2 linked regions of the Mus musculus genome follow. The protein of the gene in region 2 interacts with the protein of the main gene of each other region in a pairwise test. Links are inferred from orthologs where the notes say so. Each region holds a gene or a part of one and is shown on either strand. Other genes may lie near its edges.

Evidence for each region. The genes of interacting proteins can lie anywhere in the genome.
Region 1: the proteins of Ywhaz (region 2) and Yap1 interact in binary tests that used the Homo sapiens proteins (3 or more experiments, as listed by UniProt). The link is inferred for Mus musculus from reciprocal best matches to the Homo sapiens genes YWHAZ and YAP1.

The regions. Positions count from the first base shown.
Region 1 is NC_000075.6:7,933,890-7,939,680, forward strand, and holds part of Yap1 (transcriptional coactivator YAP1), read right to left. Parts: intron 4,650-5,791; coding exon 4,519-4,649; intron 2,739-4,518; coding exon 2,626-2,738; intron 844-2,625; coding exon 608-843; 3' UTR 1-607. UniProt on the Homo sapiens protein: Transcriptional regulator with dual roles as a coactivator and corepressor. Critical downstream regulatory target in the Hippo signaling pathway, crucial for organ size control and tumor suppression by restricting proliferation and promoting apoptosis.
Region 2 is NC_000081.6:36,786,596-36,792,386, reverse strand, and holds part of Ywhaz (14-3-3 protein zeta/delta), read left to right. Parts: intron 1-1,398; 5' UTR 1,399-1,409; coding exon 1,410-1,703; intron 1,704-5,791.

The sequences.
Region 1 (5,791 bases), on a different chromosome or scaffold from region 2:
ATATTCATTCAAACCTAATCTAGAGTATGTGGTAATAATTAATATATTTCTATGGAAGCTGTCTCATGCCTCATAAGCGTCTAAGATAAGACCCAGGTCACTATGGCCTAACGGCATCGCTAACAGAAGAATGGAAAGTTCACCAGTCTTCAGCGTGGGTCCCCTCCGTCCTCCACGAGATCAGACGCAATGCCTCTGGCTTGTTGGACCCAAGGCAGCTGAAGAAACCACCTCTTGAACAATGTTCTAGAGCATTCAGTTCCCAGTCTGTGTGTTCAGTTAAAGTGATGGTGAAAGGACCACCGGACAAAAGGCAGAACATCCATTATCCAGCAGGCCATCCCCCAGCAATCCCAGAGAACGTAGTTATCATAGCAGAGTTAACAAAGGAATCTGTCTGCGGTTCGGGTTCTTTAGAGCCGGCCGTGAAGAGGTCAGCAACCAACGTAAGAGCAGCGACGGGCAGAGAAAAGCGGAACAACGATGGACACTGGTTCATCTGTTTTCTGTGTTAGCCAGAGAACCCCCACTGACTTATCTGAATTTCAGGCGTGCACATCTTAGGCTCTGTGGATCCCTCACAGACTCAGAGTGGCTCCCTGCAGCTCTATAACCACGTGAGAAAGCTTTCTTTATCTAGCTTGGTGGCAGCCAACACAGACTCCACGTCCAAGATTTCGGAACTCAGCGCTTCCTGCAGACTGGGCATCAGCTCCTCCCCTTCTATGTTCATTGCATCTCCTTCCAGTGTGCCAAGGTCCACATTTGTCCCAGGGAGGGCTTCCAGGTAGTCGGGGAAGCGGCTCTGCTGTGACGGCAGGGTGCTTTGGCTGATGGTGTCTCCTAGTTTTGAGGAGGGATGAACAAATGTTCTGTGAGAAGCGTCAGAGCTGCCTGTGTGAGCGTAGCTATACCCACACCAACTGAAGCACACAGTGTCAGAGCTGCCTGTGTGAGCGTAGCTATACCCATACCAACTGAAGCACACAGTGTCAGAGCTGCCTGTGTGAGCGTAGCTATACCCATACCAACTGAAGCACACAGTGTCAGAGCTGCCTGTGTGAGCGTAGCTATACCCATACCAACTGAAGCACACAGTGTCAGAGCTGCCTGTGTGAGCATAGCTATACCCATACCAACTGAAGCACACAGTGTCAGAGCTGCCTGTGTGAGCATAGCTATACCCATACCAACTGAAGCACACAGTGTCAGAGCTGCCTGTGTGAGCGTAGCTATACCCATACCAACTGAAGCACACAGTGTCAGAGCTGCCTGTGTGAGCGTAGCTATACCCACAGCAACTGAAGCACACAGCGTCAGAGCTGCCTGTGTGAGCGTAGCTATACCCATAGCAACTGAAGCACACAGTGTCAGAGCTGCCTGTGTGAGCGTAGCTATACCCACAGCAACTGAAGCACACAGTGTCTACCTTAGAACACCACACACAGAGATCACTTGGTAGCAATGCCAAGTCTCACGCGTCTCACCACTTCACAGACATGCAATATAAATATACAGCCTGGCTGCTTATCACAAAGTGTTAACTGACAGGCTATGAAACTTCCTTGGAATATGCAGCAGTGAAAAATGAAAACCACGCCTTCTTTCTTTCTCCTAGAAATGCACCACCATTTCTAGGTAGTCAGCATGTCAAGATGCAGCACCTTTTGTCTTAAGTTGTACTCCGGGACACTAACATTAAGCACTACAGACTCATACAGGCAACAGAAGAACAGCATTCCCAGGAGTCCTTGAAGACATGTGACCTCCCCAGACTTCTTTCTAAATTTCTTGCACTTACTGCCCAGAGCGCTTTTATCTATCCATGATATTAGCACTTCTTGGAGCTTTTGCCAGAACTTATATTCAGAAAAACAAACAGCCTTAAGTGCTACAAGGGGGCTGAAGAGGTGAGACATGACAGTTGGTGAGAGGGGCCAGGATGGGGCTAGGATGAGGTAGGCCCAAGTGGCTCCTAAACAGGATTTCTGATCTATGTAAACTCAGAGGAAGCAAGCGACAAGTTCTCAAAATCTCACCTTCATGTGTCAGATAAAAGCCGGCATGAAAGACTTCTGACACTGTGGAGAAAATGCATCCCTGTTCTGTGCTCTCCTCAGCCAAGGCAAGGAGGTCTTAGCTCCTCAATGCTTGTACAACTATTTCAACCATAAAGTCTAAGCCCCCTCCCCCAAATATGGTTTGCTAGCCCTGTAATACCTTAAACAACTCAGCTGAACCCAAAGTATTCAGAGAAAAGAAATAAATAGTGGATCACAAAAACGTATTAAAAATTAAGAACACAGATCTAAAACAAAAGAGTTCTAATAGGCCCAACTAACATGTTAAAAGAAAACAGGGTCAAACAATGGGCATGGTGGTGAGTGTCTGAAATCTCAGCATTCTGAAAGCAGAGCAGGAGGGTCACAAGGTCAGCATGGGCCACGGCAAAAACCTCATCTCAAAGGAAAACCCAGTGTGTCAGCTTGTGCCTGAATCCTAGAACTCAGGAGCCTCTAAGCTCCAGGCCAGCCTGTCCTAGCTACACTGTGACCCTGTCTAAGAAGGAAGGGAGGAGAAACACAACTAGTGATTATGTGCAGCCGAAAGGGAATCAATACTTGCCTGTATCCATTTCATCCACACTGTTGAGGAAGTCGTCTGGGGTCCGAGGGATGCTGTAGCTGCTCATGCTGAGGCCGCTGTCTGTGCTCTCATCTCGAGAGTGATAGGTGCCACTAGGAAAACAGTGAGAAGGCACGGAAAAGTTCAATCAACTCAGGGCAAAAATAAAGATGTGTTAAGCATGACCAAGATTGAGAGGAACAGCCAACAATCCTTGCCTTGCAGTGCCTCTGCAGAGCCCAACAGCCTCTGTACTGGAATCGGACAGATACACTGATCCTAACTAAAGTGGCAGCTGCTAAAGACAAAGCCATCTAAAGGTTCTGAGCTTGGAGAGAAAAGAAAGTGACAAGTCCCATTAACTATTTTGAAGCTTGGGGTCTCCAAGGTCTCAAGTCCCTCGGCCGAGGGGTCAAACCTGCATTAGGCTCATGCTCACTTTCCAGCTCCCAAGACGCCCAAGTTAAGCCATGGACAGCCCAAAGAAAGAGCCAGAATGTCTTTTTGACAAAATAGTCAACTCACTGGAGATAAAATTCCCACAACTAGATCTTCTTGCTTCTGTTGGGGGAGGGAACACCCCAACACCTCAGCACAGCTAAGAGGCCCAAGCTTCAGAAGAGAAGGGAGGTAAAGCAGAGAGAGGGCCTTCAGGAGAAACAGGAGGCAGCATGCATTGTTACTTAAGGCTGAATGCAAACTCTCAAGATTGATTCAAGAGCAGCAGAAAACAGCCTTGAAGCTTCCTGAAGAGGATACTTTCCTAAGTTATGACTGAAAATAGCTGCTATCAACTGGAAACCTAAATTCTACTAATACTAAAACCAACCAGCAAACCAGTAACCCCCACAACTCCAAGGGCAATCGCTACTCTTACCGGCTTCTGACCACAAATGTAGACTGGCTCTCTCACATGATGGACATTTAAAGTGTTTGTTAAAAAAAACAAAACCCTTACCAGATCCCAGCCCAGCAGTACAAATGTTTGATCCCAACCTTCTTCCTAATTAACTGTTCAATGCATTTGGTCCGTCCTCTCCTTCACTCTACATGATAAACACTGTTTTATGCCAACGACTCTGAAAAATTCAGCAGCCTCATATAAATCCAAGAAACATAAACTTGCCTGAGACTGTTGGTATATAACACAGCCATGTATATATTAGCCCAGGATGCCTGTTAGCTTCTACCGTGAATGGCAGGGACACTGTTCCCACATAGGGACACACAACAGACATTTGAGTCTGTTAAGCAGGTGACTTTAGACAAACCCCACCCCCAGTCCCAGAGAAGGCACAGAGGAGCCCACTGTGATGTACAGATAGTTCTTATTGTTTTCTTGGCAAAGATTGCTCTCCACTGAATCCCAACTAATTAATGCTGGCCCCTCACGCCCCTGAGCATCTAGGATAACCTGGCAGGCACCAGAGCAGCTCAGGGGACAAGGGGTTAAGATGTTTAAAAAATATAAACACATACACCATGGAACCACACCCCTGAGCTGTAGCAGCAGCAGCTGAGGGAGTGAAGAAGGGCCACTAACGTTATGTTTTAAAATTTTGGGTGGAGCATAGCATTCCCCCATCCTTCACTAACATCCTTGGGGGTAAGATGCTGTCTCTGCTTGCTTTTACAAAAAGGCATTCACTCTATCCTTCAAGACTAATTTTTACAGGCAGAAATAAGCATGTTGTGGCTTTGACCGAGATCCCTGCACAAGCCTGAACAGCTAGTCCCCTTTAATCCTTAGCTTTGACTGTGCTTGGCACCTGTGGAGAGATGGTTGACAGCTATGGGTTTTGGCCCACACGGATGTTCTACACAGCCATAAATCTCAAAGCAGAACAACAAAGCAAGGGTCTGTTCCAGATACTGGCCAGCATTCTCACTAACCTGTTAAGAAAGGGATCGGAACTATTGGTTGTCATTGTTCTCAATTCCTGAGACATCCCAGGAGAAGACACTGCATTCGGAGTCCCTCCATCCTGCTCCAGTGTAGGCAACTGGCTGCGCAGAGCTAATTCCTTAAACAAACAAACAAACAAAAGTAAAGAGAAAGTCTGCTGATTTACAAATTTATTGTTAGATTTAAAAGAGATACACAATACCACAAAAGGGGTAAATAGACACAAAAAAGGTAAAACATTAACATATATTTAAAATATTTTCTAATTAGAATAACCAATTTCTTCTATGCATTTTAAGTGCATAGAAGAAAGTAAGCTGGCCAGGCAGTGGTGGCGCATGCCTTTAATCCCAGCACTTGGGAGGCAGAGGCAGGCGGATTTCTGAATTCGAAGCCAGCCTGGTCAACAGAGTGAGTTCCAGGACAGCCAGGGCTACACAGAGAAACCCTGTCTCGAAAAAACAAACAAACAAACAAACAAACAAACAACCTGCAGACACTAACCCTCAAACACACATATAATTTATTCCATCTTACTATTCTTTACTTGCAAAGACCCCCAAATTTTCCCTTGGGACAGTTGGGCTTTAATGACAATTCTTAGATTTTGTTATTACTTACCGGCTCTGAAGGTTTGGGGCCAGCAGTGAAAACAGAATGGAAAGAACATGTGTGATTTGCTGTTAGACACCAGTCCCCCAACTCCCCACTGCTCACACCAAGTCTTACTGTCTTAGGGACTTCCTCCCAGAACTAAATAGAGCTGTGTTCTCTCCTCTGGGGACGGCGAGTCTGGGTTAACATTTCTTCAGGGATCAAACAGTGCTCAACAGAATCCTACCTGGAAATCTGCCTGCCACAGGCTGATGACAGGCCTCAGAGGTGCTTCATTCAGACATTGTGGACCAGGGTCTCTCACCAGTGCCCTCACCACCCTACCCTATAAATCGTGGGTTTGTTTCCTAAGCAGATGTCACCCCTGCTTGTTTGTGCACAGGCTTTTGCACTTGGTAACTGACTTGCAAGATGGAGTTTTCTATAAAGCATGCTTCCAGGTCTCTCTGCAGTTTCCCAGGCCCAAGGCTGCCTTTAAGGCACAGCTTCCTCCAGCCCCTCGAGCCACATCTTCACTCAGGGCCCAAGCCAGCAACACTTCTATTATACGTAAGTACACTGTAGCTGTCTTCAGACACTCCAGAGGGCGTCAGATCTTGTTACAGATGGTTGTGAGCCACCATGTGGTTGCTGGGATTTGAACTC
Region 2 (5,791 bases):
GTTTTCCTGTGAGAAACCTAATCCACTTCCCCTTATCCGGGAGGTTGGCGGGGGAACGTTTGTACTGACTTAGGCTTACATCATTTTTGGAAGCAACATTTACCAGTGACCGTTTCTAATGTTAGATTTCGAGACCCCGGGGGAAGTATGGGTTCACAAATTTTAAATAGTTAATGCACGGAAGGTACTGTGTCTCGAATTTAAGCTAGCCCTATCCGTGTTTCTGTTCTGGACACTGCTCATTTGGCTACCAAAAAGAGGTCCTTTCTGGAAAGGTAAAGGAAAGAATTTCCATGGTGGGCGGCAGTGACTCTTTATTCCTACACTTAGTGCATTCAGGTTGTGACTTTTCATTAAAGTGTATTTTGTGGGATCACTATATGATTTAGAATTTTGCTCTTGGAATTGTTGAAGAAATGAGAAGTAAATTGGAATCTAGGGAACTTTAAAATTGAGCGAAAGAAAACTGGGGAAATATGAGGAAGACCAGCTTGAGGAGTTGTGACTGCTAGAAATCCTGCCGTGACTCCAGACTGCAGCAGGCAGCAGACATCGGAAGCGCTTGGCTCCCTCCATGTGCTGTGGACGCCCTAGTGCTCACTCAGAGTAGGAAGTGAGTGTGCCTGTGTGCTAGGCGAGAGTTCATAGGACGCTGTTTAGACACAGATTGGTCTTGGGCTTAGTGATTCCTGGTGGTATTGTGTTTAAGATAGTTTAAGCAGCAATTAGGCAGTTTTCTTCAGATAATTTTATACCATGATCAGCTGGCAAATGTTACAAGTGTAGTAGATCAGGGTGGGAGGGTGCTAAATAAAATAAAACTTAGTGGCTCTTTGATAAGAGTATATACATTAAAAAGCTAGAATATAATTACACTGACATGACTCACGATTCTGGAAGTATGCTTATAGGCATTGTAGGTCCCGGTCCCTAAACTGACCCGCACCCCCAATGCGCATTCCTGCATGCACACTAGAGGGAAAGTTGCTCAGGTGTACATCATTTAGTGTCGTTGGGATCTAGGGATCTTTGGCCAAGGAGAGTAGAGGTGGGTCTCTGGTTTTGTACCCCCTGCCCTGCAGCTTAAAGGTGGGTTTTTTTTTGTTTTGTTTGTTTGTTTTGGGTTTTTTTTTTTTAAGGAACTGGTGTCCATATATGCTTTGATCTTACTTGAAATTGGAATCTTCTGAACAGGTGGAACGCGCAGTTAATTTCACAACCTACTGTTAATATGCAGACTAGGCTAGTTTTCTGGTTGGTTGGGGTTGGGGGCTGCCTTTTAATTGCTCAAGCTGGTTTGAGGTACTGGTGTGCCTTATTTATTTATTTACTTATGACAGGTATGAGTATGTATTTTTCACAGGCGTTTTCTGAATGTTTTTCTTCTTCCCTTTACAGAATATCCAGTTATGGATAAAAATGAGCTGGTGCAGAAGGCCAAGCTGGCCGAGCAGGCAGAGCGATATGATGACATGGCAGCCTGCATGAAGTCTGTCACTGAGCAGGGAGCTGAGCTGTCGAATGAGGAGAGAAACCTTCTCTCTGTTGCTTATAAAAACGTTGTAGGAGCCCGTAGGTCATCGTGGAGGGTCGTCTCAAGTATTGAGCAGAAGACGGAAGGTGCTGAGAAAAAGCAGCAGATGGCTCGAGAATACAGAGAGAAGATCGAGACGGAGCTGCGTGACATCTGCAACGATGTACTGGTAAGAAAGAGTCTGTGAATCTGCCTCAGCTTCACGGGCGCCTTCACAGGGCCTCTGGTGCATTTTAGAAATTGGCTGTTACATAGATTAGAACTTGTCATCTAAAAGGTGCTATGGAACAATTGTAGAACGTTTCTGTAAAGTAATGAAAAACATTACTTGATGGTTTGTGTTTCTGTAGCACTAGAGCTGATACTCATAAATATATGTGGTATGGACTGTCTAGAGCCAGTTCCTGTCTGGATTAGCCGGTATAATAGAATGAGTCCTGGAGAAAACTGGATTGCAGTTGCTTGTGTGGATTTATTTGTTGTAAGTCAACTTTGAATGTTAACAACCAATGAAATAATCTCAATCTCGGCTTTCCAGGTTTTACAAGTGCTTAAGTATTTGGCACCTACTGTGTTGAAATACTTTGCTTCTAGGAGCTAAAGAGATTAAACAGTACATTTGTGTGGATTTCCTATTTTAAAAAATAATACGTTTTTTGTTTGTTTGCTTTTGTTTTGTTTTTTTTTTTTTTTTTACTAAGAAAATTTTGAGGGTAAAATCTAATAGAAGACTAATCAATTATTTTTCTAAGGCAGAATCTGTTTTACAGCCCAGACTAGGCTTAAACCTCACGTTGTTGGCTCTGCTGTCTTGGTCTCCCAAATGCTTAAAAGTCACTATGTCTTGCAAATTAGAATTCCTTTAAGACTATTTTTATTGATAGAAAAGTTTTCTAAATTGTACTTTTTTTGTTCTTCAAGGTGTTTTCAAGCTTTTTAAAGATTTAACCCATTTTAAGATAAAAACAACTGAGATCACAGCCTACTTAAAAAGCTTTTGCTTTGGGTACATTTTTATTTGTTTCTTTATATAATAGATTGTATGACTGCCATTTTTCCAAGGTTGAAAATTGCTATATTGAAGGTAAATCATATACCTATTTTAAAATTATGTAACTAAGAACATTTAAAATTGGATAGGTATCCACTTCATAATAATAATGTTTTAGGTATGTTTCTGCTTTTCTTGCTTAATCTGTTTATCACTAGATTTTATTCAGCCTAATAGGTTTTGTGGAGTTTTTTTTTTTTTTTTTCCTCCTAAGTACTGGTTTATATTTTGGTTTTGAAGGGTATAGTTAACAGATTGTACTTTCTCCTAAGAGGTAAAAGGGACATGCTAACCTCTTAGGCTCTTGCTGCAGCTCCAGGTAGGTGTTTGCATGTTTTCCATGGGCAGGCTATAGAGAAGTTCTCAAATTCTTGTGGCTTTTCCCAAGGAAAGACCAGGTGGTTTCTACTGTCTCCTTGGTTTCCTTATGAAGAAAACTGAAGTTATCTCTAAATAGCCTCTATTAAGGGTATGAAGGGGTTCTGGTCATTTCCTGCCTGCATGAGTGTGTCTCCATCAGGATGGTTCCAGCTTTTCACAAGGTCTGAGTCAGGGGTTCCCCTTGAAAGCTTAATTTCTTTCCCACACATGTGACTTAGAGAATTGTGAACAGGTTTTTGCCTCTAGTCTTGATCTTTTCAAAAGTACAGCTCTGGTTTATTACATATTAATGCTCAGATACCATTGAAAGGTTTCTTGAGAAAGAGGGCTATAGAATTAGGTCAGCAGTCCTGCTGGCATTCCAAGGCTTTGTTTTGCTTTTCAGCTTGAGAAGGCTCAGTAAATAAAGTGGGCTTCCTACCTGGCTTTTTCAAAGAAGCAGTGGTGACTCAAAATAGTTTTTATAAAATTCTTTCTTCCCTTTCTAGTGAAATAGAAGAGTAAAATTAGCCAAGACTTAACCTTAGTGGGGAAAATGCACCATTGTGCTTTATGAAATCTTGAGTGTGGTTCTTTCGCTGCTGTTGACCTATAGCATCAATGTGAGTAGAACTTAATTGTTCTAGTTGTTTGTATTAGCTGAGAAAAAATACTCTTGAACACCCCAGTCTAGCTATATGCCTCTATCAAGTGCTTAATGTGTATCATTTTAAAAGGAGACGTTTTCTTTCTTTTTCCTCTTGTTGGGAGTTGCAGTATTGACTGTGTAGACCAAACTCCCTTCATAAGTGAGAGGCCCCAGTCATTAGAGATATCTAATCATTGTTCATAAACCCAAAAAATACAGTCCCAAGTGGGGTAGTTCATGTAAGTCATAATACAATAGATTAATAATTACTAAAAACCTATTTCAGACTTTAAATATATTGTGATATGGAAAGCTGAGGGGCTGGGTTTTTTAATTTAAACTAGTTTTACAGTAAAAGAAAACTTGAGTTCAATTTAAAAGGAATAATGTGTGTGTTGCCCATGGAGTTGTTGTGGGGAGGAGTGAGGTGAAGCTCTTTGTGAGGTGCAGTTGTTACATATTTTATCTCTAGCCCTCAGAATTACTATTTATTAACTAGTGCAGGAACAAGATAAGAAACCAGGCAGCTTGCTTTTGTGTGCGTGTGTCAGTATGTGTCTTGGACTTAAAAAATTGCTATATAGTCTTTATGTTAGCTGAAAATAACTAAGTGGCTCCTATTCAGAGAAAAGACTTCACAGAAGAATATGGTCATTGGAACCTATTTTACTGCTTTCTAGATGAGTATATATGTGGCATTGTCATGTGTGGCTTTCAGTATTTTAGCATTGAAAGAACTAAGATGACCAAGTAGATTGAGTGCCGTCCAGGAAGAGTAGCAGGTAACTGTAAGTGTCTTTGGTAAGGTTTCTCATCTTATGAGACGGTACTCAGTGAGGAGTTTCATAGAGTTGAGAAGTCTGAGATGAGAATGAAGGGGGTGGGGGAATATGCTGAGGGGGAGGAGGTGGTGCTTGTTTGGGGTCCAGAATAGAAACACCCAACACTGCACATCACCTGCAAGCAATACCTAAGGTTACCTGTAAGACAGAGTGTGGGCATGTGCAGACAAGACTTGAGTGGGGCAGGGTGAATTCAGGTGAGAGCAGGATGAAAAGGACCACAGGAGCCTTACAGGCTGAGGAGAGGAGATGTGTCACTTCTGAACCGACAGCCCAGCCCTTCAACCTGTTCCAGAAAAGGCATTTATACGCCTTGAATTTAAATTCAGTCAGTAGGAAATCAACCATGTTGGGATAGAGGTTTTGTGTTTTGTTTTTTGTTTTTTTAAACATAAGCACATTGATTTATCGTTGCATGCGGTGATCATAGTTGGCTTTAAAGATTTATCTTTAACTAAAACAGATATGTGTCCAATTGCCTATTATTCATATGACATTCAGATCTTTGCTTTCACTGTACAGATGAGTTCAGAAATAATTTCCTTGCATATTCCATGTTTGTAAAGTGTATCTTCAATAAGATGGGAGTTTAAAATGAGAACTTAAATGTGTGATAGGCCATGTGTGATGGCATAAATTTGACAACAATAAAGCTATAAGAAAACAATAAAAGCCTGTGATTGCTTTTAGAAACAAGGGACATTGGAGTGGTTAGAAAATCTAGCTTGCCTCAGACATTGTATCTAAGTTTTGGGCATCAGTGTTTATCATGAAATCAGCTTAAACATTCTTCTCAATTAAGTAAAGTTTAATTTGACATATTAAATGAAGCTTTCTGTAAGAGCTGTTCTATCAGCCATTGTTGAATGTTAGTCAACAGAAAGCCTTTGTATATTTTTAAAAAAACACCACACACAACCAAAAACCCACTTTCAGTAATTTCCCCAAGAGCTGGGACTAGGAGGAGAAATGGGCAGGGCCAGATCTTGAATGTTAGAGGACTAAGAACTCTAAAAGTCACCAAAAACCTTTACAAAGAGGTGACACAAACTTTGTACGGAGTAGAGAAAACATAATAGTGGTTGTCTTAGAAGAACTTCAGATCTGGTGACTCATACCTTTCATCCCAAGCACTGAAGAGGCAGAGCCAGGCTGAGGTTAAGCCCAGCCAAGGCTACAGAGTGAAATCTTGGCTAGAAACAAAGCACTCCTCTCCCACCTGTACCCCCAATAAAGAGAGAATGGTGAAGAAACTATATTAGTTCTTTTTCTCATTGTAACTTTGGGAAGGGAAGGCTTATTTGGGTCCACCATTTTGAGTACAATCATTTGGGGTGACAGTAGTTCAAAGCAGC